7 linked regions of the Daphnia pulex genome follow. The protein of the gene in region 6 binds, or shares a complex with, the protein of the main gene of each other region. Links are inferred from orthologs where the notes say so. Each region holds a gene or a part of one and is shown on either strand. Other genes may lie near its edges.

The links.
Region 1: serine/arginine repetitive matrix protein 1-like (region 6) and crooked neck-like protein 1 share a complex: the UniProt entries of both Homo sapiens proteins name them as parts of the minor spliceosome. The link is inferred for Daphnia pulex from reciprocal best matches to the Homo sapiens genes SRRM1 and CRNKL1.
Region 2: serine/arginine repetitive matrix protein 1-like (region 6) and spliceosome-associated protein CWC27 homolog share a complex: the UniProt entries of both Homo sapiens proteins name them as parts of the minor spliceosome. The link is inferred for Daphnia pulex from reciprocal best matches to the Homo sapiens genes SRRM1 and CWC27.
Region 3: serine/arginine repetitive matrix protein 1-like (region 6) and RING-type E3 ubiquitin-protein ligase PPIL2-like share a complex: the UniProt entries of both Homo sapiens proteins name them as parts of the minor spliceosome. The link is inferred for Daphnia pulex from reciprocal best matches to the Homo sapiens genes SRRM1 and PPIL2.
Region 4: serine/arginine repetitive matrix protein 1-like (region 6) and pre-mRNA-splicing factor CWC22 homolog share a complex: the UniProt entries of both Homo sapiens proteins name them as parts of the minor spliceosome. The link is inferred for Daphnia pulex from reciprocal best matches to the Homo sapiens genes SRRM1 and CWC22.
Region 5: serine/arginine repetitive matrix protein 1-like (region 6) and G-patch domain and KOW motifs-containing protein-like share a complex: the UniProt entries of both Homo sapiens proteins name them as parts of the minor spliceosome. The link is inferred for Daphnia pulex from reciprocal best matches to the Homo sapiens genes SRRM1 and GPKOW.
Region 7: serine/arginine repetitive matrix protein 1-like (region 6) and cysteine-rich PDZ-binding protein-like share a complex: the UniProt entries of both Homo sapiens proteins name them as parts of the minor spliceosome. The link is inferred for Daphnia pulex from reciprocal best matches to the Homo sapiens genes SRRM1 and CRIPT.

The regions. Positions count from the first base shown.
Region 1 is NC_060026.1:11,199,262-11,203,341, reverse strand, and holds the start of crooked neck-like protein 1, read left to right. Parts: upstream 1-1,280; 5' UTR 1,281-1,371; coding exon 1,372-1,422; exon of another isoform or gene 1,423-1,425; intron 1,426-1,481; coding exon 1,482-1,571; intron 1,572-1,633; coding exon 1,634-1,852; intron 1,853-1,914; coding exon 1,915-2,135; intron 2,136-2,199; coding exon 2,200-2,648; intron 2,649-2,708; coding exon 2,709-3,016; intron 3,017-3,108; coding exon 3,109-3,333; intron 3,334-3,396; coding exon 3,397-3,593; intron 3,594-3,663; coding exon 3,664-3,850; intron 3,851-3,926; coding exon 3,927-4,080. Other genes in the region: probable maleylacetoacetate isomerase 2, read left to right, coding at 92-172, 272-476, 573-675, 740-866. UniProt on the Homo sapiens protein: Involved in pre-mRNA splicing process. As a component of the minor spliceosome, involved in the splicing of U12-type introns in pre-mRNAs.
Region 2 is NC_060020.1:8,996,305-9,000,348, forward strand, and holds spliceosome-associated protein CWC27 homolog, read left to right. Parts: upstream 1-1,244; 5' UTR 1,245-1,639; coding exon 1,640-1,681; intron 1,682-1,742; coding exon 1,743-1,908; intron 1,909-1,977; coding exon 1,978-2,021; intron 2,022-2,095; coding exon 2,096-2,132; intron 2,133-2,193; coding exon 2,194-2,327; intron 2,328-2,406; coding exon 2,407-2,436; intron 2,437-2,505; coding exon 2,506-2,642; intron 2,643-2,705; coding exon 2,706-2,864; intron 2,865-2,953; coding exon 2,954-3,085; intron 3,086-3,152; coding exon 3,153-3,340; intron 3,341-3,416; coding exon 3,417-3,537; intron 3,538-3,600; coding exon 3,601-3,763; 3' UTR 3,764-3,808; downstream 3,809-4,044. UniProt on the Homo sapiens protein: As part of the spliceosome, plays a role in pre-mRNA splicing. Probable inactive PPIase with no peptidyl-prolyl cis-trans isomerase activity. As a component of the minor spliceosome, involved in the splicing of U12-type introns in pre-mRNAs.
Region 3 is NC_060022.1:781,819-785,789, forward strand, and holds RING-type E3 ubiquitin-protein ligase PPIL2-like, read left to right. Parts: upstream 1-1,171; 5' UTR 1,172-1,353; coding exon 1,354-1,385; intron 1,386-1,461; coding exon 1,462-1,681; intron 1,682-1,769; coding exon 1,770-2,079; intron 2,080-2,156; coding exon 2,157-2,302; intron 2,303-2,397; coding exon 2,398-2,521; intron 2,522-2,597; coding exon 2,598-2,746; intron 2,747-2,808; coding exon 2,809-2,960; intron 2,961-3,023; coding exon 3,024-3,213; intron 3,214-3,273; coding exon 3,274-3,416; intron 3,417-3,482; coding exon 3,483-3,579; 3' UTR 3,580-3,650; downstream 3,651-3,971. Other genes in the region: somatomedin-B and thrombospondin type-1 domain-containing protein-like, read left to right, coding at 1-8, 138-214, 315-529; eIF-2-alpha kinase activator GCN1-like, read left to right, coding at 3,814-3,828, 3,913-3,971. UniProt on the Homo sapiens protein: Has a ubiquitin-protein ligase activity acting as an E3 ubiquitin protein ligase or as an ubiquitin-ubiquitin ligase promoting elongation of ubiquitin chains on substrates.
Region 4 is NC_060018.1:7,249,251-7,253,513, forward strand, and holds the start of pre-mRNA-splicing factor CWC22 homolog, read left to right. Parts: upstream 1-1,463; 5' UTR 1,464-1,592; exon of another isoform or gene 1,593-1,657; coding exon 1,658-1,815; intron 1,816-1,882; coding exon 1,883-2,387; intron 2,388-2,454; coding exon 2,455-2,583; intron 2,584-2,651; coding exon 2,652-2,997; intron 2,998-3,205; coding exon 3,206-3,645; intron 3,646-3,707; coding exon 3,708-3,988; intron 3,989-4,067; coding exon 4,068-4,169; intron 4,170-4,254; coding exon 4,255-4,263. Other genes in the region: ubiquitin carboxyl-terminal hydrolase 24-like, read right to left, coding at 1-35, 100-238, 306-542. UniProt on the Homo sapiens protein: Required for pre-mRNA splicing as component of the spliceosome. As a component of the minor spliceosome, involved in the splicing of U12-type introns in pre-mRNAs. Promotes exon-junction complex (EJC) assembly.
Region 5 is NC_060019.1:137,331-141,379, reverse strand, and holds G-patch domain and KOW motifs-containing protein-like, read left to right. Parts: upstream 1-1,342; 5' UTR 1,343-1,439; coding exon 1,440-1,594; intron 1,595-1,658; coding exon 1,659-1,944; intron 1,945-2,003; coding exon 2,004-2,110; intron 2,111-2,180; coding exon 2,181-2,364; intron 2,365-2,422; coding exon 2,423-2,555; intron 2,556-2,620; coding exon 2,621-2,728; intron 2,729-2,907; coding exon 2,908-3,077; intron 3,078-3,141; coding exon 3,142-3,297; intron 3,298-3,359; coding exon 3,360-3,491; 3' UTR 3,492-3,549; downstream 3,550-4,049. UniProt on the Homo sapiens protein: RNA-binding protein involved in pre-mRNA splicing. As a component of the minor spliceosome, involved in the splicing of U12-type introns in pre-mRNAs.
Region 6 is NC_060027.1:2,460,148-2,464,283, forward strand, and holds the start of serine/arginine repetitive matrix protein 1-like, read left to right. Parts: upstream 1-1,336; 5' UTR 1,337-1,485; coding exon 1,486-1,509; intron 1,510-1,668; coding exon 1,669-1,758; intron 1,759-1,843; coding exon 1,844-1,972; intron 1,973-2,285; exon of another isoform or gene 2,286-3,103; intron 3,104-3,304; coding exon 3,305-3,475; intron 3,476-3,546; coding exon 3,547-4,136. Other genes in the region: SH3 domain-containing protein Dlish-like, read right to left, coding at 72-120. UniProt on the Homo sapiens protein: Part of pre- and post-splicing multiprotein mRNP complexes. As a component of the minor spliceosome, involved in the splicing of U12-type introns in pre-mRNAs. Involved in numerous pre-mRNA processing events.
Region 7 is NC_060021.1:4,590,447-4,592,723, forward strand, and holds cysteine-rich PDZ-binding protein-like, read left to right. Parts: upstream 1-1,180; 5' UTR 1,181-1,300; coding exon 1,301-1,514; intron 1,515-1,588; coding exon 1,589-1,677; 3' UTR 1,678-1,777; downstream 1,778-2,277. UniProt on the Homo sapiens protein: As a component of the minor spliceosome, involved in the splicing of U12-type introns in pre-mRNAs. Involved in the cytoskeletal anchoring of DLG4 in excitatory synapses.

The sequences.
Region 1 (4,080 bases), on a different chromosome or scaffold from region 6:
AAATTTTAAAATTATTAAATCATCACAATGTTCACAGTTAAACCCATATAAATAGCTAAAATACCGCTGGCATATTTTTCTATGTATTTAGAATGCTGATGACTATAAAATCATAAACCCCATGGCTCAAGTTCCATCACTAACAATTGGGGACAAAGTTTTCACTCAGTCGGTAAGAGGGACACTATATGAATATGACACTATAGATATATAAGACCTTCCAGTTCAAATTTCAATGCATAATTTTTACTTCCATCTCCTGTACATTTAGGTAGCTATTTTGGAATATTTAGAAGAATCTTATCCTTTAAAACCCTTATTGCCAAAAGATGGTGTGATTAGATTCAAAGTGAGAGAAATATGTGAAATTATTGGTTCTGGGATTCAACCCTTACAGAATTTGGCTGTACTTAAACAATTTGAAGAATCTAAACAGAAAGATTGGGCTGCTAAGTGGATTTTCAAAGGACTCACTGGTAGGTGAAGATCTTCATGAATATATCAATAAAAAAATTAATAAACTCTAAGAAATATGTGCAAAGTTTATATAAAAACCCAATTTTTTATTACAGCATTAGAAAAAATATTAGAAACTTCCAGTGGAAATTACTGTGTTGGAGATGATGTTACAATGGCTGATTGTTGCCTTATCCCACAACTGTACAATGCAAGGAGGTAAAGACTAAAGTTTCCATGATTCGTTTCATGTTCTCTTTTTCTCACGCTTCGTCTGAATAAGGTTTGATGTGGACGTGGCACAGTTTCCTAATATTGCTCGTGTGGAAAAGAATCTCGAAGTTCTTGAGCCTTTCGTAAAGGCTCACCCGAGCCGACAACCAGATTGCCCGCCTGAACTTTCAGCATGAAAATAAAACAAAAAAATTGATGTGAAATAGTCGGACTTCAGTCCATAGAATAACGATATTAAACGATGATTATAATTTGGTCGATGGGTTGCGAATACGGGAGAATGAATTGCAATGGAACTTGTTATGCTGTTTGATATTTACTGAAAAATAAACAAAATTTGCCATTATCACTTATCAGATATTTGCAATATTTATGTCTTGAAACTATAGAATAAATAGAGTGTATTCCAGTATTCCTGTAAAACTGAAACCTGAAAAGTGCTAAATCCGGTTAAAATCTTTCAAAAAACCTGTTGAAAGCTGGTAAACAATCAATCTGGCAACGTCCGATTCGTCGTCTGTTCGGTTCGTACGAGTCGCGCTCGCGCAACTGCAATCTGCAAGAAGCATCACTTGCTCGTGTCAGTTCAATACTACAGTACCAAGTGTCAGTCATAGACTCATATCTGTTAAAACCTTATTTTATTTTTTTTACAAGTGCTCATTTAAAAAGTAATCTAAAATGGATTCGGGTGGATTCGGTAAACCACAAAAACCTCCTAAAGTTGCCAAGGTTGTAATACTTAAATGTAAGAATGCTCTTGACATTACTTATAACACATTTCTCTTTAGGTTAAAAACAAAACACCGGCAGAAATTCAAATCACTGCTGAGCAGTTGCTTCGGGAAGCTAAGGAACGTGATCTTGAAATTGTTCCACCAGTAAGTGTTTCGGCAATAGATAACAACTTGAAGAACTGAAGTAAGAAATTTTCTATTTTTAGCCCCCTAAACAAAAAATTTCAGATCCCGATGAGTTAGCAGACTACCAGTACAAGAAACGCAAAACCTTTGAAGATGCTCTGCGGCGTAATCGTAATGTTATTACCAACTGGATCAAGTATGCTCAATGGGAAGAAAGCCAAAAAGAAATTCAAAGAGCCAGAAGTGTTTTTGAGCGTGCTCTTGATGTAGACCATCGTAACATTACCCTTTGGCTGAAGGTAATTAATTTTCATTTGTTAAATCTGTGAAATAATAAATATCTAATTTTAAAAAAATTTAGTATTCAGAAATGGAAATGAAAAATAAGCAAGTCAATCATGCCAGAAACTTGTGGGACCGTGCAGTTACAATTTTGCCTAGAGCAAATCAGTTTTGGTATAAATATACCTACATGGAGGAAATGCTGGCCAATATAGCTGGTTGTCGTCAAGTATTTGAAAGGTGGATGGAATGGCAGCCAGATGAACAAGCTTGGCAAACATACATCAATTTTGAATTAAGGTAAATAAATGTAGTAAATACTAACGTTACACTTATCAACGTCCAATTTTTGTCCAATAACTAGGTATAAAGAATTAGATCGTGCTCGCTCAATTTTTGAACGGTTTGTCTATGTGCACCCGGAAGTAAAAAATTGGATCAAGTATGCCAAGTTTGAAGAAAGGAACGGTTACATTATCGGTGCCCGCCAGGTGTATGAACGGTCGGTGGATTTTTATGGTGATGATCACATGGACGAAAGGCTTTTCATAGCCTTTTCCAAGTTTGAAGAGGGCCAAAAAGAACATGAACGAGCAACTGCTATTTACAAATTTGCTCTCGAACACATGTCAAAAGATAAAGCAGCAGAATTGTACAAAGCCTACACAATTCACCAGAAAAAATTTGGAGAGCGTGACGCTATAGAAGACGTTATTGTCAGTAAAAGAAAATTTCAGTATGAACAAGAAATTAAAGAAAATCCATCAAATTATGATGCATGGTTTGATTATTTACGCCTAATGGAAAGTGAAGGTATTTTGACTTACTATCAAATTTTTAAGGAATTGTGTCGAATGTGTATTGTATCTTTAGGTGACGCTGACGTTGAAGTAGTGCGAGATACATACGAAAGAGCTATTGCCAACATCCCGCTAGTAGCTGAGAAGTCCTTTTGGCGTCGTTACATCTATCTGTGGATTAACTATGCACTTTTCGAAGAACTGGAAGCCGAAGATTATGAAAAAACTCGACAGGTCTACGATTCATGTCTTAAGCTCATTCCGCATCGTAACTTCACATTCGCCAAAATGTGGCTCCTTTACGCCCATTTCGAAGTTCGACAGAAAAATCTGCAATTGGCGCGTAAAATTTTAGGTACTGCGATTGGTAAATGTCCAAAGGTAAATATGTTTCAGTATTTTTTCTTTCAAATATGAAATCTAATTAGAGGCCAGTCTATGAACCAGTTTTTAATAAATCTGGTTATTTATAGAACAAGTTGTTCCGTGGATATATTGATTTGGAGATCCAGCTGAGAGAATTTGACCGCTGCAGGACATTGTATGAAAAGTTCCTCCAAAACGGTCCAGAAAATTGCACCACTTGGATGAAATTCGCCGAACTAGAAACTTTACTGGGAGATGTGGATCGTGCTCGCGGCATTTACGAGCTTGCCATCAAGCAGCCTCTACTAGATATGCCAGAAATTCTTTGGAAGGTAAATTAAACTTTAAATATGTGCACAGATCTCATTCCTAATGGAGTTGTGTTTGTTCTTCAGGCTTACATCGATTTTGAAATCGAACAAGAGGAGAATGATAAAGCCCGATCGTTATATGAGAGACTTCTAGAACGCACGCAGCACGTAAAAGTCTGGATGAGTTTTGCTCAATTTGAGCTCACTCTAGCAGCATCTCAGCAGGAGGACCCAAGTTTGCCAGTCGCAGCAGCTAGAGCAGTCTTCCAGCGTGCAAACAAGTTCGCATTTCTTTGCTTTGAACTATTAGCCTCCGTAAATTACCTTCTTAATTCCCCATTATGTTACTAGGTCGCTACGTTCTATAGCTCAGTCAGTCGGTCTTGAAGTGGCTACCAACAAAGAGGAGCGATTGATGTTGTTGGAGGCTTGGCAAGAATTCGAATATGAATATGGAGATGAGGGATCTCGCAATGCGGTTGTTAACTTGATGCCTAGACGTGTGAAGAAGAGGAGGCGGATCCAAACACAAGATGGGGTATGTGATAATATTTTGCGTTTAGATGCAAAATTTTGTGCGTTGCAATGTTTTTTTCTTTTCTTTTTTTTTTTAGACCGATGCTGGTTGGGAAGAGTATTTCGACTACATTTTCCCCGAGGATGAAGCTACTAAACCCAATCTTAAGCTCTTGGCTATGGCCAAAGCTTGGAAAATGGCAAAAGAATCCGCTCCATCAAACCAGGAAGAGGAACTACCCAAAAGCAATG
Region 2 (4,044 bases), on a different chromosome or scaffold from region 6:
TTTCATTTGTTCTGCTCTCTCCTCACTTTCTCCTAGGTTCCGCAATTTCCAATGGTTTACCGAAGAAATCCAGGTCACGTCGCTATTAAACTAACGTTATACGCTGCATGGCTGTTTACGAAGATTCATCAACCATGGAGAAGCAGCCACGCAAACTATGCGCCCTAATACTTTCTATTCACAACCGTTTACACATCAATTACGCTTAAACACTAACAATACCATTCAGATGTATTTAAAATTATGCAAATTCCTCTGAAACTCCCCATTTGTATGCGCGGTTGTCTCAGATATATTTGTTTAAGGTTTACAATGATTGTTACGGAAAAACCCCAAAATAGGTGAAAAAGTCTAAAATTTGTCAGCCTGCCATACGTTCAGTGTGTCATGTCGCGTCATCGTCCGATAGGCGTTTCATCCGGCTTCATCCTCATCACGTTCACACGGTACTTGCGTTTCCTCTTGCTATTCGATTTTGTTGCGGTTGTTGTTCTGAAGCCTCCGTAAAGTTGCTTGCTAATTACATGCTAATAATAAGTATCGCAGCAGCAGATTCGTTTACCAAATTGGGAGAAAATAGAATTTGGAGAAAGCAGGCCATACTTTTATTGTTTGGTACATTGTGGTCATAGCTTCATCCATGACTTGGTTTGTCCTATTCCTTAGTCAATTAATAACCTTCAGCTAAAATACACAACTTTCCAAAAAAGAAACTGAATTTTCGTCTTTGCCTACTAAAAGTAGGTCGGGTTATTAAAAAAAAAAATTCCAGATTTCATAAAAGAAAATTTGTCAGGTTGATCGCGGTAAAGTTTAAGTTTTTAAATCTAATGTTTAAAATATATTTATTGTAATAAAAATACTCTTAGCACAGTAGAAAACAAGATACAAAGGCTTTCCTCACACTTTAGATTTTTCAGTTTCTATACCTAAAACAAAACGCAATTGAGATATTATAGCGGTAGGAATAGGAAGATGAGGAAAAAGGGTTTCTAGATCAAATTAAGGGTATGGAGCTATCCAGCAGATTTTTAATTTTTTACAGAAATGCAGATTTCAGTTTTGGGACATCACAGTTGAAATCCTGATCCCAAATTTTAAGAGAAAAATAATTAAAATGAATTTATTAACTAATTATTTCATGAGTGATAAAGAAATAGTTGGGAGAGATTTTTTGAAATTCCAAATCAGTAAATCACGAGCTTAGTTCTATGTGTGTCCTATAAGGAAATCTATTTTTACTAAATCCATACGATACAACGATAGTTATCGAATAAGACTGAAGATAAGTGAATTTTTCCGTCAGAAACTCAGAATTCAAGAGCGATAAATGTATGAGTATGGCCAGCATAGTATCAGGCAACTCTTATTTACAGTGCGTTGCAATCGTCTGCCACCAGTAGCGCTGTGAGTCGAAAGGATAAAATGGTTTGTTTGTTTAAAAAAAAACCAAACACAGTTCGCTCGAACTAGCAGCCAACAACTCCGAACTAGACATAGAACTGACATAGATGCTAGATTGCTACTACTACTAGCTTTGTCGAGCTACACATTACCTCTGCACATTATACACATCAAAACACGGAATTTTAATTAGTTTCATTTTGATTTTCTTCCTTTTTCTCCTCGATTTACAACAATGAGTAACATATACGTTCAAGAACCACCAACAAATGGAAAAGTTTGTATTCTTTTCATGTATCATTGATTGAACTACGTGCTAAAACGTAACTTTTGTTTAGGTTGTTGTGACTACTTCTCTAGGAGAAATTGAAATAGAACTGTGGAGCAAAGAATGTCCAAAGGCTTGCAGAAATTTTGTTCAACTATGCCTTGAAGGATTTTTCAATGGAACAATTTTTCACCGAGTGGTACCAAATTTTATTGCTCAAGGAGGAGATCCTTCTGGTAAAACTTAATAATGTGATCTGTTGTTATTTATATTTGATTGAAACAATTACCACCCCTTTTTCTTAGGGACTGGCCATGGTGGTGAAAGTATTTATGGGGAACCATTCAAGGTTACATAGTATTCATTTGAATAGAATTCATTATTTCAGTCTTTATTAACCTTTTACAATCTTTTGGTATTCAGAACGAAGTTCATTCACGTCTACGATTTGTCAGAAGAGGTAAAGCAAACATCTTCTGTGTTTTTATTACATAATGTACCATTTCAAACATCTTTTTAAGGATTGGTTGCAACGGCTAACACTGGAAACAATGACAATGAATCACAGTTTTTTTTTACCTTGGGTTCTTGTCCGGAACTGCAAAATAAGCACACAATTTTTGGTAGGGTTGCTGGGAATACTTTGTTCAACATGGTAACTGACAATTTGTTAATTACGCTGGGAACAAATTATTCAAGAAATTCTAATGTACAATTTTTTCTCTTTCTCATAGATCAAATTTAATGACTTGGATATTGATAGTGTAAGTATATTTAAATTTTGAAACTCAAATAATAAAATAATAAAATCAATAAAATCATAAACGCTATAGGAAGATAGACCTCGTCATCCACCTAAAATTTTTAAAACAGAAGTTATTTCTAATCCATTCCCTGACATTGAACCAAGGATTAGCCAAGAAAATATCAAGAAACCAGAGGAAATAAAATCTAAAATAAATAAAAAAAAGTATTAAGTCCAGCTATGTAATATTGTTATAACTGCTATAAGAGCTTGTGTTTGATTCTGTAGGAATCTTCAGCTGCTTTCCTTTGGGGACGAAGAAGAAGATGAAACAGATGTTCATCAGCCAACTAAGTCTTTTCGTGGGAAATCTTCTCATGAACTGACTAACGACCCTAAACTTAGCATTGTTCCTGCAGTCAACGTAGAAACGGGGTTAACAAATAAGTACGTTTAATAGAACAAGCCGTCAGATCATTTTCAAAGACTGTGTATGGTCTACATTCATATGTAAAATTTCCATGTCATATTTTCAGCGACAAACCGACAAAAATTGAACGGCAATTTGAAAAGGTTGTGCCTCAAACTGATTTGCAACCAGAAGTATCACCTGAAAGTGTAGATGTTGACATTTCGAACCAAAAGAAATCTGAAGCAAACAACAAACTGTAAGAAACAAACAAGTCATAACAATTACTTGATAGTTATGCTCATAAGTAAATGCTTTACTTTTAGAAAGCAAATCAAAGAACAGATAAGAGACTTGAAAAGGGAAATGAAAAACCCAAGTGAAACTCCTCAAGATCAAGAATTATCTAAGAAAAGAAAAATTAGCGACAGTGAAGAAGATAATGAAATACTTAAAGATTTTCATGAGCAGCAGAAGAAGTATGCGGACATAAAAACAACACGGCGAGGAAAGGGTAAATAGATCAATTGTTTAAAATATTTGTTACCTCATCATATCATCAACAAGTTTTAATATTCTATTTGGAATAGGCACGGACCGAGAAGCTGAAACCCTTAATTTCCTTAAAAAATTTCAGAGTAAGCTTAGCCAAACTCGGACAACGAAAGGAGGCGTTGATGATATTGATGACGTAAACGATGATGATGCATGGTGAGAAATAATTTTTTATCCCTATAAATTTGAAAATTGCAGAATTTCTTTATTTCTTTCTAGGTTGAATCACACGTTGAAATTCGAAGACAAAAATCCTTCGTTAGCCCGAGATGCTAATACAAAAAGTGATGATTGGTTTGAAATCTACGATCCCCGTAACCCCTTAAACAAACGAAGAAGAGAGGAATCAAAGAAGATCATGAAAGAGAGGAAATTCAACTAAAAACTAAAAATGATCTCCAGTTTTGAAATGCACATATAAAACTCACCTTTGTTTGTTAATCTCACCAATTTCTCTTTGATTCAACGAGCTTGAAAATCAGAAACAAATGTCACTTAGGCTTGCTGGAACATAAACTTGTGTGTCAATTGTAGCCAAAGTAGTCTGCACGCGTAAAGGAATTGTTATGTAAAGGAAAATTCTCCAAAATTTTTCGTGGGATCAATATAAACGGGATTGGTCACGAACGGTCACGAAATAACCGGGGATAAAAGCAGCGTGCC
Region 3 (3,971 bases), on a different chromosome or scaffold from region 6:
ACCAACGAGTGAGGATACATACCTATAAACAATCAAGCCACAAAATTTAAGAAATTTTCGACACCAATGATTGCTCTTCAATTGGACGTTGAAAATTGGCGCATACATGTTGCAATAACACTTCCGTCTTTATTCAGTTACTGCGTGACATTCGAGCTGACCAAAGTGTCCAAGGCCTGCCACAAAGAGAAAGTGTTCAACTCTCTTACTGACGGTAATTGACTTCCGGAATAATAATATCCGGATGGAAATATCATTTTTCAAAAATTGTGTTTTGATACATTTATTTTATTTTATTCCTTTTCGTGGTTTAGGCGGCGTCGTCTGTGTTCGATGTGAACACAAGGCTACTCGTGACTATTTGGGAGGCCGTTGCGGTGGTCACGGAGTGCCGGGTAGAATTACACGCTGGACATCGCTGACCAACGTCGAGTGCCATGGCAAATGGCTCAGACGTCCGGATGAATCTCACGAGGTTTCCAGCTCGACTTGTTCGTGCGACGAGGACGCTCTGTTAATTTTCGTTTAGGTCTCAACACAAGAGACGCAAACTATAAGGAAACGAACAAGGAAGAAGATCAATTTTAAACAAAATCTCCTTAAATTTGTTATGCTACCACATTAATTATTTCTATTTTTTTTTCTTTGTCTTTCGAATCATTCTTTTTTTTTACCTAAAATATTCGATCTGAGGGTGGTTTAATTAAAAAAAACGCGAATGAAACGAGCGAAAGCTAGAACAAAAAAATTAACTGTCGACCCACCCATCGAGTTTAATGCGAGTGTGAAAATACACAGAAAGGGAAATTTCCATAGAACCAATTTATTCACTTAATCTTTTGTTTGCTGTCAGCTGCCTAGTCTATAGTGGAGTCTAGCAATTATTATGCATTGTTGACTTTCATATCGCTTAGGCTTAGCCGTCTTCTTTGAATGGTTCCTCTTAATTATCTTATCTCGAATCATTTTGAGGCTTTTATGAAGGTCGATCCTGGCCCCCTAGTGGCTGAACGTCCAACGACCAATATTTCATCATTTAATTTGGCCAATGAAATTCTTGATGATGTGATCGTTGGATGTTATTTTTCGTACATAAAATTTTTTTTTAAATGGTAGAACAATTCAATAATCGTTATAAAAAGACAAAAAGTTTAAAAGTTTAAGTCGAGCGGTTGAAGCTTGAAGGGTAAGCAGACGACGTTCAAGACAGTGTGCCAAAACAACAAGTCGGTTTATTAGTCGTTTGGCGTTCTATTCCATAAACTGAAAAAAGTTTGCTCGATTTTAATTTGTGTATTTCACAGAGAACTTTGATACTGTTTTTCTTCATCAAAGCGTGAAAACTATCTGAAAATGGGAAAACGACAACACCAGAAAGATAAAATGCAAGTTCTAAGATATTTCAATTTGAATGATATGTTTAGTATGAAAACACTAACTAGTTTACTATCTTATATTTAGGTACTTGACAAGTACAGAGTGGAGCACATTGTATGGTGGGAAGAAGCCTGTTAATCCAAATAGTGCCAGTGCTTCATTTCGACGACTTCCATATGATCACTGTGCCTTGTCACTTCAGCTTTTTGAGAATCCTTTGTGTGACACTGAAGGAAATGTTTTCGACCTTCTTGCTATAGTTCCATACTTGAAAAAGTATAAAACTAATCCAGTAACAGGAAAAGTAAGTTTTGCTTATGGGTATTGCATGTTTGCTTCATCCGATAAACTTGAACTAGAAAGGCATGTTTATGAGAATTTAATTTTTCTAGCCATTGGAAAGCAAAGCCCTTCTGAGGTTAAATTATCATAAAAATGCTGAAGGGGCATACCATTGCCCTGTATTGTTCAAGCAGTTCACAGACAAATCCCACATTGTGGCCATCAGAACTACTGGAAATGTGTTCTCCTATGAGGCAGTAGAGCAACTCAATCTGAAGCCCAAAAACTGGAAAGAGTTGTTAACAGATGAAACATTTGCTCGTCAAGACATTATCACTCTTCAAGACCCATCTCACCTAGAAAAGTTTAACATCGCTAAATTTTATCATGTAACGCATGACCAAAAAATCGAAAATGAAGGTAATTTGTTGTCTTATTGATTATAGACTTAACAACGCCAATTGATTTGCTTTCATAAATATGATTCTCTCTACTAGAATTAATAAGGGCCAAAACCGATCCTGCAGCCCGTCTCAAATACATCAATGCAGAAACGAAGGGAGTTTTGGCAGAATTAGAACAGGAATACAAGGCACCTGAAGAGACTGTAACTGTAAAAGCAGTAGCTGATTCCATTAATGCGGTAATTTGATTCAGTTAAAGTTTTAAATTTATCCCTTTTATTTATTATTATTTTCGTTTTTATAACTTGTTTATAAAACAAAAAAAAACTATCAGGCTCATTATTCCACCGGGGCTGTCGCTGCTGGTTTTACTTCTACGGTGATGGCACCAGAAACTAAGCATGAACCAGCAATTCTCGATGAAAGTATCGTTCGATATCAGCGCATTAAGAAAAAAGGTTAAAGTAGTTTCTTGTAATGAATTCTTCACAAACCATCTAAATTTGTTTTTATTTCATCAATTTAATTTCTTAGGTTATGTTAGACTAGTTACAAATGTCGGGCCTCTTAATTTAGAGTTACATTGTGAAATGGTACCTAAAACGTGTGAAAATTTCGTCAACCTGTGCAAAAAAGGCTACTACAACAACACCAAGTTTCATCGGTCTATCAAGCATTTCATGGTACTGTAGATCTCAACGTGATCACGGGCTGTTACAGAGATTTCCTAACAAAAATTTTCCAGATTCAAGGTGGCGATCCCACTGGAACTGGTACCGGAGGAGAGTCTTGCTGGGGAGGATCATTTGAAGATGAATTTAAGCCGAATCTATCCCACACCGGTCGGGGTATTTTATCGATGGCGAACTCGGGAACCAACACTAATAAATCTCAGTTGTACGTTTAAATTATCTAGTTCTATGCATACATTACGCATCAATTTGATTATTACTCTTTCAGTTTTATCACCTATCGCTCGTGTAAACATCTGGACGGAAAGCACACAATATTCGGTCGTGTCGTGGGTGGAATGGAAACTTTGAGCGCTATGGAACGAATTGGTACTGACAATAAAGATCGACCCGTAGAAGAGATTATTATTGAGTCGTCACAGATATTTACAGACCCATATGCCGAAGTAGACGAAAAGGTTGCCGAGAAAATCAATTCAACCTTAGAAGCAAAATTTACTTTTGTTTTTACATTTTAGTTGGTGATTGAGAGAGCCGCAGCGCTAGAAGAAGCTGAGAGACAGTTGAAGGAAGCAAAGGCTTCCATCCCTAAAGCCCAGCTTAAGGTTTTCAAACAATCTGGTGTAGGAAAATACATCAACCCTAAAGCTTTCACCAACAAGTATATCTTTAATTTTCTATTAAATAAAATAGTTTCATTGCAGCTTATTATTATTTTTTTTTATAGACCAGCTGATTCGGCTGGAGAAGAATCCGGCAGTTCTCAACATAAAAAAGCTAAAACATCTGCTAACTATTCATTTGGTAATTTCAGTAATTGGTGACCTTCCCGGATATTGGATTATTCTTTGCTTACTTGTGGCTGATTTTTTAAAAATAAACTCTTTCTCGAACACTTGTTCTTATCAAATTGTATGTCATTTTTTTTACTCAATAATTCTGTAGCAATTAAAAATAAAAATCGAAAAAGGGGAAGGAAGGGTTCACAATTTTACTGACTTTTTTTTATATGCGACGGCAACGCAGCATTGTCCTCTCGTCTGCCAAAACGACACACGATGGATGACAAACCGGTAAGCAAACCACATTTATGATAAATAATAATTTGTTAAATTACGCGTTCAATAATCAATGTCTTTTGGTGATTTGTTTTCTAGTTAGCGAAAGCGCTGAAAGATTTACCCTTGAGGGTACAATCAGCCAGCTATCTCGAACG
Region 4 (4,263 bases), on a different chromosome or scaffold from region 6:
AAACCTCTGCATGTTTTCATCATTCTCCCAAACACCTTAATTGGATTAAAAATTAATGTGTGTAATAGAAAAACACAAAATTCACAAGATATAACCCACCTTCTTCTATTAGTTTTGTCGCAGCTGCTAAGCATTTATGCAAACTTTCATCCTTTTTATAAGGAATAGACCATTGATCTGTAAATACTCTAGACTCTAATTCATACAGGTGGGTTTCAGGGAAGCCATCATTTCCACTCTAAGAGATAAAAATGTAAGTGTTGAAAAATGCTTTACATTGACATAATAGATGAAATAGGCTTTACTTCAGACACGGAAGCATCTTCGCTGGATCCTTTGGAAACACCAGCTACCTCTTTCATGTCAACATCGATGTTTAAGTCAGCAACAGGTCCATAAGATGACACTGACTGATCATTGGTGAGGATAGCAACTGCTTCATTTAGATCATTCTTGGCTAAACGTAAAGCTCGTTTGATTTCTCCGATGTCCGGAAATCCCATGGCCATTAACGTGCTGATATTTTCGTCTTCGACGTCCATGACGTCTTCTCTCCGGCGTTTTAAAATTTTTATTGTTTATCTGAAGAGGAAACAAATACAAAATTAGAACATATCACGATGCACGATGAGTGTATCCCAAGCACTCTGCGCATTTTTTTTTTTGTTTTTTTGTTATCTTACTACGATCACAAGAGGCACGAACTCCTTCGCGGAGCTTTTTGAAATTCTTCTATACACATAGGATAAACTGCATGGAGGAGTGGCAAACAAATGTTAGCGGTAGGCAGGCCCCTTGTCAAATGCGCCCTCCCTATTAAACCGTGGGCGCTGACATCTTTGACATGTTGCCAGCTCATTCATTCCTCTAAACAGTGGTTTCAGACGGATTCGACTTTTAGAAAAAATGCTTAATGATTTTTTACCACATAATTTCAATTGAAAGTATGAAATCTCTTTAACAAATCTTCGTGGCTGCCTGTTTTTATTGTTTCATAGCGGTTAGTAATACCTATTTTAAAACTAGGAACTCGCAGGACTAGCGAAAACATGCGAAAATATTTCAAAAATTGAAATAATTATTCTTTTAACGATCCTTTATAACTCTGATTTCACCAGTAACTATTTTAAAAATTCTACACGAAATACGAAGACCTGAGAAGGCTCAGCGCTTAACGCTGCCACAAAGCTGATAAACAATTTAAACAAGTTATCGAAAAAGTCCAAAAAGTATTTGATGGTTGCTCGCTGCTCGGGGCAGAATATTTATTCAATTATTCCTTTTCCAATAAATTTTAAACAAATTTTCATTAATGAGGAAGTGGTTGATTACAAGAAGATTCTTAATTCTTATTTTTTGTCACGTTTGTCTCTTTGCCTGCCTTTGCGATAAACCCGATAAGGCATAAGGCGACAAGCCGACAACCAATGAAATCGAACAAGCTGCCCAAACGCAGGTGGCGCATTAGTGGTAGAATTGTAAGCAAACGGCAATACCGCAATATGGCAATAGGCATTAAGCCAAGGAAGCAAACGTAAAAAAGCAGTTGTTTCTCAGCGTGTTGCGATTGCAATTTTCTATTCATCCAAACAGTATAACATCTGTTAAGTGATATTTTCAAATTAATTTCCCTTCATCTGTCACAATAATCCTTCAGATGGAAAGTGTCGTCAAAGCTGTTGGTTTACCCGTAAATTTCTTAGAAGAAGTCGACGATGATTTGGAAGATGAACGAGACGAAAAAGCTCCAGCAAAGCCCGATAGCAATATTCGGAAACGACGGTATAGTTCAGAGGAGGAATACAGAAGAGAAAGGTAGACAACTGTACCAAAAGTGTTACAAGTAACAAATTAATTTACTTCATATTCATTTTTTTATCAGGAAAAAAAACTATGAAATAGGCACACGCTATTGGGGAGATGAAGGCCCTAGAGATAACTACACACAACATTCAAGAGAACAAGATCAACATTCAAGAAAAAGAGAAAATCAATTGAAAAAGGATGACAGAAAAACTAGTGAACAAGGTCCTTTAAATGAAGAGGATACTAAAGAGCCTAAGAGAGTTAAAGAAATGGATCCAGTGCTGACACGAACCGGAGGAGCTTACATTCCTCCTGCCAAGTTAAGAATGATGCAAGCCCAAATAACTGACAAGTCAAGCTTAGCTTTTCAGCGTTTATCTTGGGAGGCTCTCAAAAAATCCATTCATGGATTAATCAATAAAGTCAATGTGTCAAATATCCCATTGATTATAACATCCTTGTTCAAAGAAAATATTGTTAGGGGACGTGGTCTTCTAACTAGGTCCATCATTCAGGCACAAGCTGCATCACCAACATTTACACATGTCTATGCAGCCCTTGCTGCATTAATCAATTCCAAAGTATAAACGTGATTTATATTAATTCATGTATTTAATTTAATTCACATCACATTTGTTGATGTTTCAGTTTCCTAACATAGGTGAACTGCTATTATCTCGCCTTATTCTTCAATTTCGCCGTGGGTTTCGTCGAAATGACAAACAAATATGTATGAGTTCGACAAGATTCATAGCACATCTGGTGAACCAACAAGTGGTAATATTGAAATTTTGCTCTCATGTTTTGTTTTTCAAATGCACTGAAAATTTTTCTTGGTATTTTAGGCACATGAGCTTTTGGCTCTAGAAATTTTAACTCTTCTGTTAGAAAATGCAACTGATGATTCAGTTGAAGTCGCGGTTGGATTTTTGAAAGAATGTGGTCAAAAGTTAGGTGAAGTCTCCCCTCGAGGATTAACTGCTGTCTTCGATCGCCTCCGTCATGTTTTACACGAAGCTGACTTAGACAAACGCGTGAAGTACATGATTGAAGTAATGTTTCAAGTACGAAAGGATGGCTTTAAGGACAACCCTGCTATCGTGGAAGATTTGGATTTGGTGGAAGAAGAAGATCAATTCACTCATTTGATGTCGATACAAGAAGAAGAATTGGATCCCCAGGATATGTTGAGTAATAAGTTGCTATTAATGGATTTAAAAAATATCTGTATTCCTCAATCTACCAAGTTAGTTTACTGGGCTTAAATTTTTATTTATTTTTAAAATAATCTTTGACTGTAATGAGCCCCAAGTTCCGTGCTTTTCTTAAACTGTTAATAGTAGATTTTATATGTCTATCTCCACTTTGATACCACTAACTGTTTCGCGTATTTTTGTAGATGTTTTCAAGCACGACCCGGATTATGAAGCCAACGAAGAAAAGTACCAAGCTGTCAAAACAGAAATTATTGGAGATAATTCGGGCGAATCAGACGGTTCTGGAGAAGAAAATGATGAATCTGATGGAGATAGTGCTTCGGAGGAGGAAGCAAAAGGTAAGAATAGCATATACTTTTACTTGGGTCGATTCAATTTGTATGTTTTTAATTTTGTTTTTTTAGAACAAGGCGATATTGTTGACGAGACGGAGACAAACCTTATTGCTCTTCGACGCGTTATTTACCTTACTATTCAGAGCAGTTTAGATCACAATGAATGTGCCCATAAAATGATGAAAATGCAAATGAAACCTGGACAAGAAACTGAGTTATGCCATATGATCTTGGATTGCTGCACCCAACAAAGGACGTATGAAAAATTTTTCGGCCTTTTAGCCCAGGTACGATTTCTTATTAAATAAAAAACTATTCAAGTATATCAATTTTCTTTTCGGTGTATTAGAGATTTTGCCAGATTAATAAGGCATACATACCACCATTCGAGCAAATATTTCATGATACATACGACACAATTCATCGGCTGGATACTAACAAGCTTCGCAATGTAGCCAAAATGTTTGCCCATTTACTTTTCACAGATGCCATCAGTTGGCAAGTGATGGCTAACATTCGACTAACTGAAGAAGATACTACAAGCTCTTCGAGAATATTTCTTAAAATTTTATTTCAAGAAATGGCAGAGTACATGGGTCTCAGCAAGCTAAATCTTCGCCTCAAAGACCCGTCAGTGCACCAACTATTTTTTAAACATCTTGTTTGGTTATACGTCACCAATTTAATTTTTTTAATATTTTCGTTTTAGGACTTTGCAACCGTATTTTGAAGGAGTTTTCCCTCGCGATGATCCTCGCAACACTCGATTTGCCATTAATTTCTTTACTTCCATCGGTCTAGGAGGGTTGACGTAAGTTTTTCTATCTCGTTGATAGATTCTTTAAGATTAATTAATAATTTTGTGTTGCGTTGGATGGGACGTTTCAATTATGTAGAGACGAACT
Region 5 (4,049 bases), on a different chromosome or scaffold from region 6:
AACAAGTCGAACGCAGTTCCTCGGTTTGGCGGACGACAGTCGATGACCTTGACCGTAAAAGACCTCTTTTTTTCACCGTTTTAAATCGAAGGGGGGTTAACAAACGTCAATGACCCTTTTAATTGAGAAAAGAAAGGGTAAATCGACGCCCTTCTTCTTTTTTTACTACCTGTTGTATACGGGGACTTTTTTTAACGCTTGGAGGTAACTTTTAAAACATTTAAATTGCCGGCCTTCTGAATTTGGTAAAAGATTTGAAATGTCGTCGTCGTAATGGAAAATTACAGACTAGAAAGATCGTCTCTTGGGGTTATTCTACTACTAATACAACCTCGAATGGTTGTCCTTTTATAGGGCCAGTGGCTACATGGAGACCTTGAACGAAATGAAATCAATCTTTTTTTAAAAATAAACTACTATTTGGGAAAACAGCCAATCTATTCCAAGTTAAGCAACAAATTGTCGAGTAACCTTAACCCTATTTTTCCTAGAAATGGGAGCAAGACACTTGGTACAAATAAATTTCAGGTCAGGATAAATGTGTTTTGTAATAACATACGGTTGGAATTATGTCACAGCACTGTGTTAGTAGTACCATAGAGGAAGGAGTGAATGACGAAATCAAACCCAACACTCTATGGCAGTACGTAGTTGTTTTGGAATGAACAAATATCGTCGATGCTCGTAAATGCGTAAATATTTTTGTTCTAGAGTTTTATTTTGTCGTCTGCTTGACTCGTCCGATGCAGACATCTAGCGAGTGTCTGGTAGATTACACCGAAGGTTACGATTGGTCAATTTCGGAACCAGCCTACAAAAAAATCAAGGCCCCGGTCGTTCGATTTTATTAAATAAATATACTTGATTGTGTCACATGATTATGTCACTTCAATGGTCTACGTGCATCAGTATCAATATATAGTGACCTCAATTCTTTGATGAAGCCTTACAACTTTGTCAATATGATGCGAGCATCTCCATTGCGTGACGCTACAGGCAGTTACAAAATGAGCCCATGATATCATCTTCTCATCTTCGTGCTCCATTTCCTTTTAATTACGTACTCGGTTACATTTTAATCAAAGTCAAGTAGGCACTAGAGGCAACCGCGGCTGTGGCCTGGCGGCATCAGCGTCAGGCAGGATGAAATCAAATCAGTTGCAGTTGCCTAGTAACATAATTGAATTTTTCCTTCAGACAATTTAATTAAAACGACGAAACATCGCCTTCGCCTAGCGAATTAATTAGATATTTTAATTACACGAAAATTATGCAGAAGCTACGCGTAGTTATAATACCACCGCAGAATGCACGGCAGTTGTCTGATTTGATTTTTCAATGTTCGTCTGCTTGCGTCTCCCCACCTTTTTTGTTGTTTCCATAAAGACATCTTCTGAGCGAAAAGGAAATCCTTGATATTAACGTATTCGTGTGTCATTATGTCGGAAACCAAGCCTGGTGTGTCTTTTGCCTTTAGTTCAAAAAAGAAACATGATAACGTGAAATTAACTCAGTCGAAACTATTGGATACGACTCAAGAAACTCGCGAAGAGACTGATTTCGTCAAAACTGTCGAGCACAACAAAATCAATGGGTATGTTGCTTTTCCCGCCACAAAATATTAATTTTACATTCATTTTCTGCATTATTCTATTTAGATCCATCAAAAAAGCACCCAAAAAGGAACTGGTTATTCCTCTTATAACAAAGAATCGGTGGAGGACCCCTGGCAGTGATACCAAAACCGAGAACACAGAAGCATCAGACTTGGACAAGCAAGCCGAAAAAGAAATCCTGCAAGAAACACTGAAGGCTGTTGATGGCTGGGAGAACAGAGGCAATGGCGTACCCTCCAACATTGATATCCCCCTATTTATGCAAAATCGTGTTCCATCTGGCTTTGAAACAGATGAAAAAGTAGATGTTTCCCTCCGTGCAGATCAGGTACTGAATTTCGCAACTGCACCTTAATTATGTAATTAACTCTTGACATTTCTCTCTAGTCCACACTTGATGATTATGAAGCGATCCCAGTGGAAGCCTATGGAATGGCCATGTTGAGAGGAATGGGTTGGAAAGCCTCAGAGGGTATCGGTCTCTCTAGAAAAGGGTATCATTGCCATATTTCACATTAATTAATGGTTCTGAATTCTCATCAAATTATCTTTTATTCAATCAAGAGTGGCTGCTCCCATGGAGGTGAAACTTAGGCCTAAAGGACTTGGTCTTGGGGCTGACCGTACTGTTTTAGAAAATGCAGCTAAAGCTTTAACAAAGCCAAAAGAAGGCGAAGAAGAGCTCAAAGTGATTATCGGTGCAAATGTACAGTTGCTCAGCGGGAAACATCAAGGTTTATATGGACAAGTAAGTAAAAATTCTATTAAAATCTGCCATTAAATTATAACTAAATTTGTTTCATCAGGTTCTTAGCATGGACGCAAACACTGGTCGTGCTCTGGTGCGGATGGCTGTCGGAAGCAACGAATTGGAAATGAGCGAGCTCTTTCTGAAACCAGTTTCTGCTAAAGAATATCGTGATTCCGCCAGGATTCTGAGTAAATTAAATCTATTTCAAGCCAAATTTCTTCTTGAAATTAATCATCTTTCTTTTAATTCTCAGACAAGGAAAAATACGACGAGTACAAAACGAAACAGGACAAGGAGCGAAACGAGAAGGAAAGAAATGATCGCGAGAGCAGAAAGAAACGGAAGCATAGTCCTAGCCATCGTAAGTAGTGATAGATTGTCCTGTCTAGCTCCTCCTACCCAAGGTCACGCTTTCCTACATTTATCATTGGCGTTCTCGTGCCAGCCGCCCAGCCCGTACCGTCAGAATTTCCCGTTGTTAATTAATCAGTTTGTAATGAAATTCCACTATAATAATTTTTTCCTTTTATTTTAAAAAAGGTAGTCGTCGGAGTGGCAGTCGGGAGCGCCGTGATGAGAAGAAAGAATCTCGTTCTAAAAATCGGTCGTCGAAAGGTTCTGACGAGAAACGAGAACCTTGGCTTCACCCACTCTTGCGAGTCCGCTGCGTCGATTCTTCATTCAAGGACGGCCAATTCTACAAACAGAAAGTAAATAAAAATGTCCTAAAAATAAAAGATGAATTTCTCTCACGCCGATTGGTATGAATTCCAGATGGTTGTGGTGGACGTGATTTCCAAGAATCATTGCATTTGCAAAGCCGAAAACGGGAAACTTTTGGAAAACGTCAACATTTCTAAATTGGAAACTGTCATTCCGCGTAGCGATCCCGCTTACGTCATGGTCGTCAAGGGCAAACGAAAAGGACAGGTTGTTAGCTGAAATTTACACACATGTTGTTTTTGTTAACTTGTTTATTTTTTAATAAAAAGGTCTGCCAAGTGATTGAAAGGGACAAGGAACGATACACGGCCACCGTCCAGATTCTACCGGATCGCGATGAAGTTTTCCAACTAGACTACGACGACATTTGCGAATACACGGGAGATGTGCGCAACTTGTAATCACAAAATAACTCGACTTGGTTTTTAAATAAAAACAAATGTGCTATTCGTGTTTAATTTCATAACGATTTTCACCCTTTTTGTCTTCATTGTTGCACCTCTCACATAATTTGCTACGTGACCCAGACAGCTGTGGCAATCTCTCATTATGCAAATGTTTGCCGAAAGCTCTCTCTCTTATCATTTTAATGATACGTTACGCTAATGCAAATTTTTCAAGTGGAAAAAGAGATGAGAAAGTACAAGGCGCGCCAGTCAGTCTGGCAAGAACTTTGTGTGTTTTCAATGGGATTTATTAAAGTATACACCGGCATCGTAAAAATACACGAGCTATAGGGGGAATACGGTAATGGTACACACCTTTCACGTGCGTGTTCCCCTTTATTTTTGCATCGATATTTTTCGGTACAGAGTACACTGAACCCACACAGCGTAGCTCAATCAATTCACGAGAAAAGCGTATAGGCTACCACCCTACGGGGGACAGTGGGGGGGCTTTTTTTCGCTCGGTCATTTCTCATGACTCCCGCCGAAGTCCGAACGAACGAACGAACGATG
Region 6 (4,136 bases):
ATCTAGTCCGTCTGCTGAACACTTTTTTTTCAACCTGGTATACGTCTGGAAAAATTGGACAAGTTTGTTACCTTTTTTCTTCTTGCCTCGGCGTATCCTCACTGGACACAAGAAAGCCATGACTCAGGTGTGCACCAGACACTCAACACACACTAACACACGCACTATTAACTCGAAATCGATTGGTAAAATGCACTTGATTAGTTTAATTTGTTTGACACAATTAGCAGGGCAATGTCGATTGTTGTATGTTCAGTCGTCAGGTGAGAATGAGAATTGACACAGCAGCAGAAAGAGTCAGCCTGGAAGAAGGCCTGGTTTCTGCTTCTGTTCCATGGCCTCCGCCAATACCCACTGGCACTGCACACCTTGAAAAACAGTCTCTGCTGGTAGATGGGAAGAAGAAGAAGAAGAAGAAGAAGCAACAACTTTACCTCCCAATCCCCCCTCTAACCAATTCCATCCAACCAGGTTTTCTCAAATACAGTTTGTTGCCTTTATGCTCCAGGGGCTCTTTTTCTTACCTTCTTCTTCTTCTTCTTCCTTCATTCACATTCTTTCCCTCTATATGCACCTTTATTATTATATACCTTTGGGCTCTTCTTCTTCTTCTTTCGCTGCTGCTGCTGCTGCTGCTAATTTATTTCTTCCCTTTTCTTGAGGATTGGAGTTTTTTTTGTTTGGGAAGGAAGAGACGCTTTTTACCTGTGCACACCGCCGCGTCTTATAGCCTAGCGGTCACGTAAAAGGTGCGCGCATGCCAGCTCAAGCTAAAAGGGATGTAGTCAGTCAACCAACAAGAAAGCCTTTTATTTTCTTAATTCATTTTTTTTTCTTCTTTTCAACCATTTCTGTCTGTGGTTGATTTATACTTTTTGATGGTTATCTTATTACACTTAAAAAAAAAAAGCCTTTGGGGACAAAGTTGCACCGGTCGTACAGTTATTTTATAAAGGCAAAGAGAGTTCAAGGAGCTCAAGTCTACTTAATAAGCAGTGACCGTTTGCTACCTACTCGCAGGATCAAATGACAAAACAGGTTCCTTGCAATTTTGGCTTCAACTGAAAAAACGACATTTTTCTTATAGTCAAATTAACCGGTTGGACGCGCCATGATTTCGGGATACATTATTTCGCGTCGATAAATTGAGAGGAAACCTTAGATTGGCATTTTCCCGTTATTCGTCCAATTGATTTTGTCATCGAAGAAAATTAGTTATGCGTAGCGTAACCCATATTTGATATGTTTTGTCCTTTTTTTCTTTCAGAAGCGCTGGCAGGAGCTGGCGCTATGCATATGCAGCAGTCGATTTATTTTTCTAAACTGGCAATGCTGTTTCCATTTTCCTGACTGAAGGGACAAGAGGGAAGGCGATCAATTGAGTTAGGGGTCCTCCATTTAAGACTTGAGTTTAGCCCGGCTTTATTCTCCCATTTATTTTTACTTTTATAGAATTACCTCGATTTGAGGTATTTTTCTTTCACAATGACTGATGCCGGTTTCTTCAGAGTAAGTGTTAATAATTACCCAAGTTAGAACTATTATTCCCTTGAATTGTTTGCAGCATCTCGACACGCCAACTCGGTCGTAAAATTCTTGCTTCATCAGTTGTGAAATCTGTTTTGTTAACTGATGGGATGCATTGTAATATTTGAATTCTTTCAACAGGGCACCTCAACTGAGCAAGACAATAGATTTAGTGACAAAGAGAAGAAGCTTTTGAAGACTATCAAATTTGCTGAAAATGTGACTAGAAAGGTAAATTATTGATCACCTGTGCAACTTTAACAACATCAATATGAGTTACATGTTAATATTCATTAATGCATGTTAAAAAATTCAGGTGGATATGAGCAAAGTTAAGTTGGAAACCATCAAACCATGGATCACAACCAAAATTACAGAACTTATGGGAGGAATTGAAGATGACGTCCTGGTGGAATATGTTTTTAATCAGCTCGAAGCTGACAAGGTAATATCCTTTTAATCTCAGCCGTGTAGATTTATCTTATGGGAAACATTTGCCACCAAAGCTTTTCACCAATCATTCTGCTGTTTATCTTATGCAATTTTTTTAATATCAGGCTGAAATAGCCATCACATACTAAGAATGATTGAACGTCAGCTCCTTTGCATCTGGTTCTTGTTTGTAATTTGGTTTAATGTGAAAGATAAGTTATGATTTAAGTTTTCACCACCCAGATGGCTTTGATTATATTTTGTCTGTGCTCATGCTCATCTCAATATCTTGTACACTTTTGGGTCCTGTGTTATGAAGACTTAATGTGGAATTGCATCAAAGCCTTGTTGTCACCATGTCACACACACCACCTTGACATGATGGATGCAAGGATTCTTTCTCGACCGAGACCTGGTCGCATTATTTCGAGGTCTTCTCTTCGAATTGATTCACCTTTCGGCCTGTTCCGTGGACGATTCCTCTTATCGTCGGCCACGATGTCTATGGATTTGGATTTCCAACGTTTCGCAGTCGACCGATGAAGGATTCACTCCTGCGAAATGATGGAATACGGCACGTTCTAAACCATCGAGTCATGAGAGGCAATTCTGGGATCGCCTTTCGCCCAGCCAATGCAACGCCTTCTCCCCCAGTTGATAGTTAACCGCACAGTCGACAACAGGGAAAACTCCTGTGTGGTTAAGTCGGGCTCTGATCGCAGTAGGCCTACTCAGGAATCCGTGTTGAGAAGCTGAGAAGAAGAGATCCTTTCGTCTCGGCCCAAAAAGCAGGACGGTACAGTCGACAGAGATAAGACTCCTGTGCCGTTCGCTAACGTGGTCGAAGCTGCTAGATTTGCCTGATAGATGACGACAGACCATCCCATCTTTAAAAATCACCTGATCGATCGCATCGTGGTGCCGGGGTAGCCATCAGGAGTAGGACTAGTCAGATGACGACCCAATAGCTGGGCGGTACAGTCGACAGGACAACTCCTGTGCCGCTCGCTTCGTGGTCGTCTCTTTGATACCGAGTCGCCGGTGTTTTTATGACGGATGGGAAACTCGGTTCTCCCTCAACGCCCAGATTGGAAAAAAAGAAATAAGAGATTTTTTTCTGTTGTCACTCTGGTCGAGCTCTCAGGCAAGAATAACAAACCAAAACAAACTACGTAAAACAGCTTATCCTTTTAAAGAGCAAACCCCTGAAAGGTATTGCTCGCTTAATCCGCCGAGATCATACCGAAACCTAATCTATTTGTGTCCGTTTACTTAAGTATCTCTTTTCCATTTCGGTTGTTTGATTTTTCTGTTATTTGTCTTTTTTTTTTCTTAAAACCTATAGAACCCTGACCCTCGTCGCATGCAAATCAATTTAACTGGATTCCTCAACGGCAAGAATGCCAGGATTCTGATGACTGAATTGTGGGATCTTCTACTATCTGCCCAAGAATCGTCTGCTGGAATTCCGGAGGTCTTTATGGCACAGAAGAAGGAAGAAATCAAATTAAGAAAGGTATGCAACCATCGGAAATAATTCGCGGTATTAGTTTTGTTTCTATCATTTTCGTCTTTATTGGTTTGCAGGAAGAACAAGATCGAATCCAGGAAGCAATCAAAAAGGCCGACCGGGATCGGCGCGCTGACCGAGAAAAGGAACGCAACGACCGTACTGACAAACGAGCTTCCAAAGATAGAAGCCGTAGCCCCAACAAGGACAGGGTGATCAAGAAGGAAGGAGACAATCCCCGCTCTTCACCTCGTCGTGACGGCCGACGTCCTTCATTGGAGCGTCGTTCTCCTAATCGAGGCAAGGCGTCGCCACCGCCTCGTCGTCGCTCACCTGCCAGATCGCCAGCAAGGCGCTCGCCTCGTCGATCTCCACGTCGATCACCTGTTCGTCGCTCCCCAGCTCGCCGTTCTCCTGCACGCAGATCTCCCGCTCGTCGCTCGCCAGCTAGACGATCACCCGTTCGCCGCTCTCCCGCTAGGAGATCTCCAGTTCGAAGGTCCCCAGCCCGCAGATCTCCTGTTCGTCGGTCACCGGTCCGCAGGTCGCCCGTTCGAAGATCTCCCAGGCGTTCACCTGTTCGTAATCATTCTCCTCGGCGTCCTTCACCACGCCGTTCGCCCGTGAGGAAGTCACCCGTTCGACACCGGTCGGCGGAACGTCGTCG
Region 7 (2,277 bases), on a different chromosome or scaffold from region 6:
GAAACTCTGATTTTTCTCGATTTTTTAAAATAGAAAAATAGAGGGAAGAGAATAGGGGAGAACAAAGGGGTCCGGCGGTTTTCCCTCTTCTATTCTTCCCCCGGGCTAGGATTTCGTCCCTGCGCCACCAAAATAAATCGGAATTGTTTTTTAAAAAATCGGGACAAATCAGAGTTTCATTAGAAAAATTTGAAACTTTGTCCAAATGTAGACGACTATGTCGTCTACCGTTGGTAAAAGTTTCAAGTAAAAATTTATTAATTTCAATTTTTTATGATTTTTTAACTAGCATACACTTTAGCTTGGAAACATATGGCGAGCGCGCCGATGTTTCCAAACTTTATGTCTAGCACTTTGGGGATAAAGTTCAATTTACTAAAATCTGAAAAAAATCATGGTGAAAGAAAATTCTTTCCTCACCAAGAAGATTTTTTAAAATTTGCTTTGCGATAACTCAAACGTGAGTTATCGCGAAAAAAGGGAGACACATTGGCCCGTAAGCCGCCGTGTTAGAAGCGCGGAAACACTCGCCGTGTTTCCAAACTTTGTGAGGGTACTGTATATAATATATTTCGTATCCACGGATATAGCTCCTCTGATTTGATCTATTACACCCCGAAGAGCCATCTCATGAAAATCATGGAAAATCAATTTTATAGCCCACGCACAAATAAAATTCCGTGACGGGCTACCGATGTGGTAGCCTTCAAGTCAACTCTCTTTATTTTTCTTTGATACCTATAATAATGTGCCATCATGTTTGTTTGCCCAGATTCAGGTTTCGGTTTTTTGCCCAGTTTTTTTTTTATGGGGGAATTGGAGACTGCGTTATTTTGACAAGATTAAAAGCGTTAATTTGTTTCAAAATTCGCGCAACCTAAACGGATACATCTCCTACATCTAGCGGTAAAGAATTAAACTCCACCGCAGGTTTTATTATAGCCGTTCTAATGTCGCAATAGTTTTTCCGTTCTAGTTTCGTTTCTAAAATATGGACGTTCTAGTGTCGGGTGGGCGTTCTAGTGACGACGACAGTGATAGTGCCACGACAGATGTCGTGGCAATAGACAGTTTCGACCGTATTGCCACGACATGATGTCGTGGCAATAGATTTAACCATCCCAGTCTTAGAAAAGGTTAAAGCCATCTCTGCTTGTCTATGTGAACTAACTGAAGTTTGCCTTATGATCGCTAGGTGGTAGTTTGCAAAAACAAAGCTTCGACTAGTCGACTCGAATCTAGCTTTGAAGTTTTTTTGTTGATTGACTAAACTAAAAACGCAGTTAAAGCCTGTAGAAAGATGGTGTGCGATAAATGTGAGAAAAAACTGGGTAAAGTTATAACTCCAGACCCATGGAAATCAGGAGCTCGAAATACCACAGAAGGTGGTGGTCGCAAGCTCAATGAAAACAAAGCTCTTACTTCTACAAAAAATCGTTTCAACCCATATACACCGAAATTTGAAGGCTGCAGAATATGTAAACAGAAAGTTCATCAAAATGGATCGTATTATTGTAAGTACCAAAGAATTTATAAGAAAAGAAGCTGAATTGAGTCTAACAAAATTACTGTAATTTGGAATTTACAGGTCAACCTTGTGCTTATAAAAAAGGAATCTGTTCGATGTGTGGAAAGAAAATTATTGACACAAAAAGCTACAAACAATCTTCCACTTGATAATCTGTTGTGTTATGTTGTGTTACAATCTTGTCTATGTCTCCTAATCTTTAAGTGAATGTGACATTGAATGGAATATATGAAATTAAGATGCTTGAAACTCTTTTCGTACTCTAGTGCTTTACTCATGTGAAGTTTGAGACCTTACAATCACTGTAATTATCTTGAGTGGTACTATATTAATTTTTGGTATTAAAATTTGTAAATTTTTCATACCTCAAGTATATGCAGAATATTACCAGTAAATTTTCTTTGTAAATTATCTTATGGCATGGCTAATGGATGGATATGTAAATTATACTCTGAACTCCATCCCTTATTTTGTCAGAGGTAATGCTTAAAAGGTTAAGGACCAAAGGTTAATCTCCTTTGAACAATTAAACTTAGACTGAGAATTGTTTTTTTTATGAGCTCAATAATCAATAAACACAGCGAATGATGTCGTTCTATGCAATTTAGCATTAGAATTAAACATGCTGTTTACATATATATACTAATTCCAGAAAATTTGCAGTACTTTTTACTTGTTGGCTAAGTCCATGCTAAGCAATAACAAACAAAAAATATTACTTGTAAGGCGTTATACGATATATTTCGAGA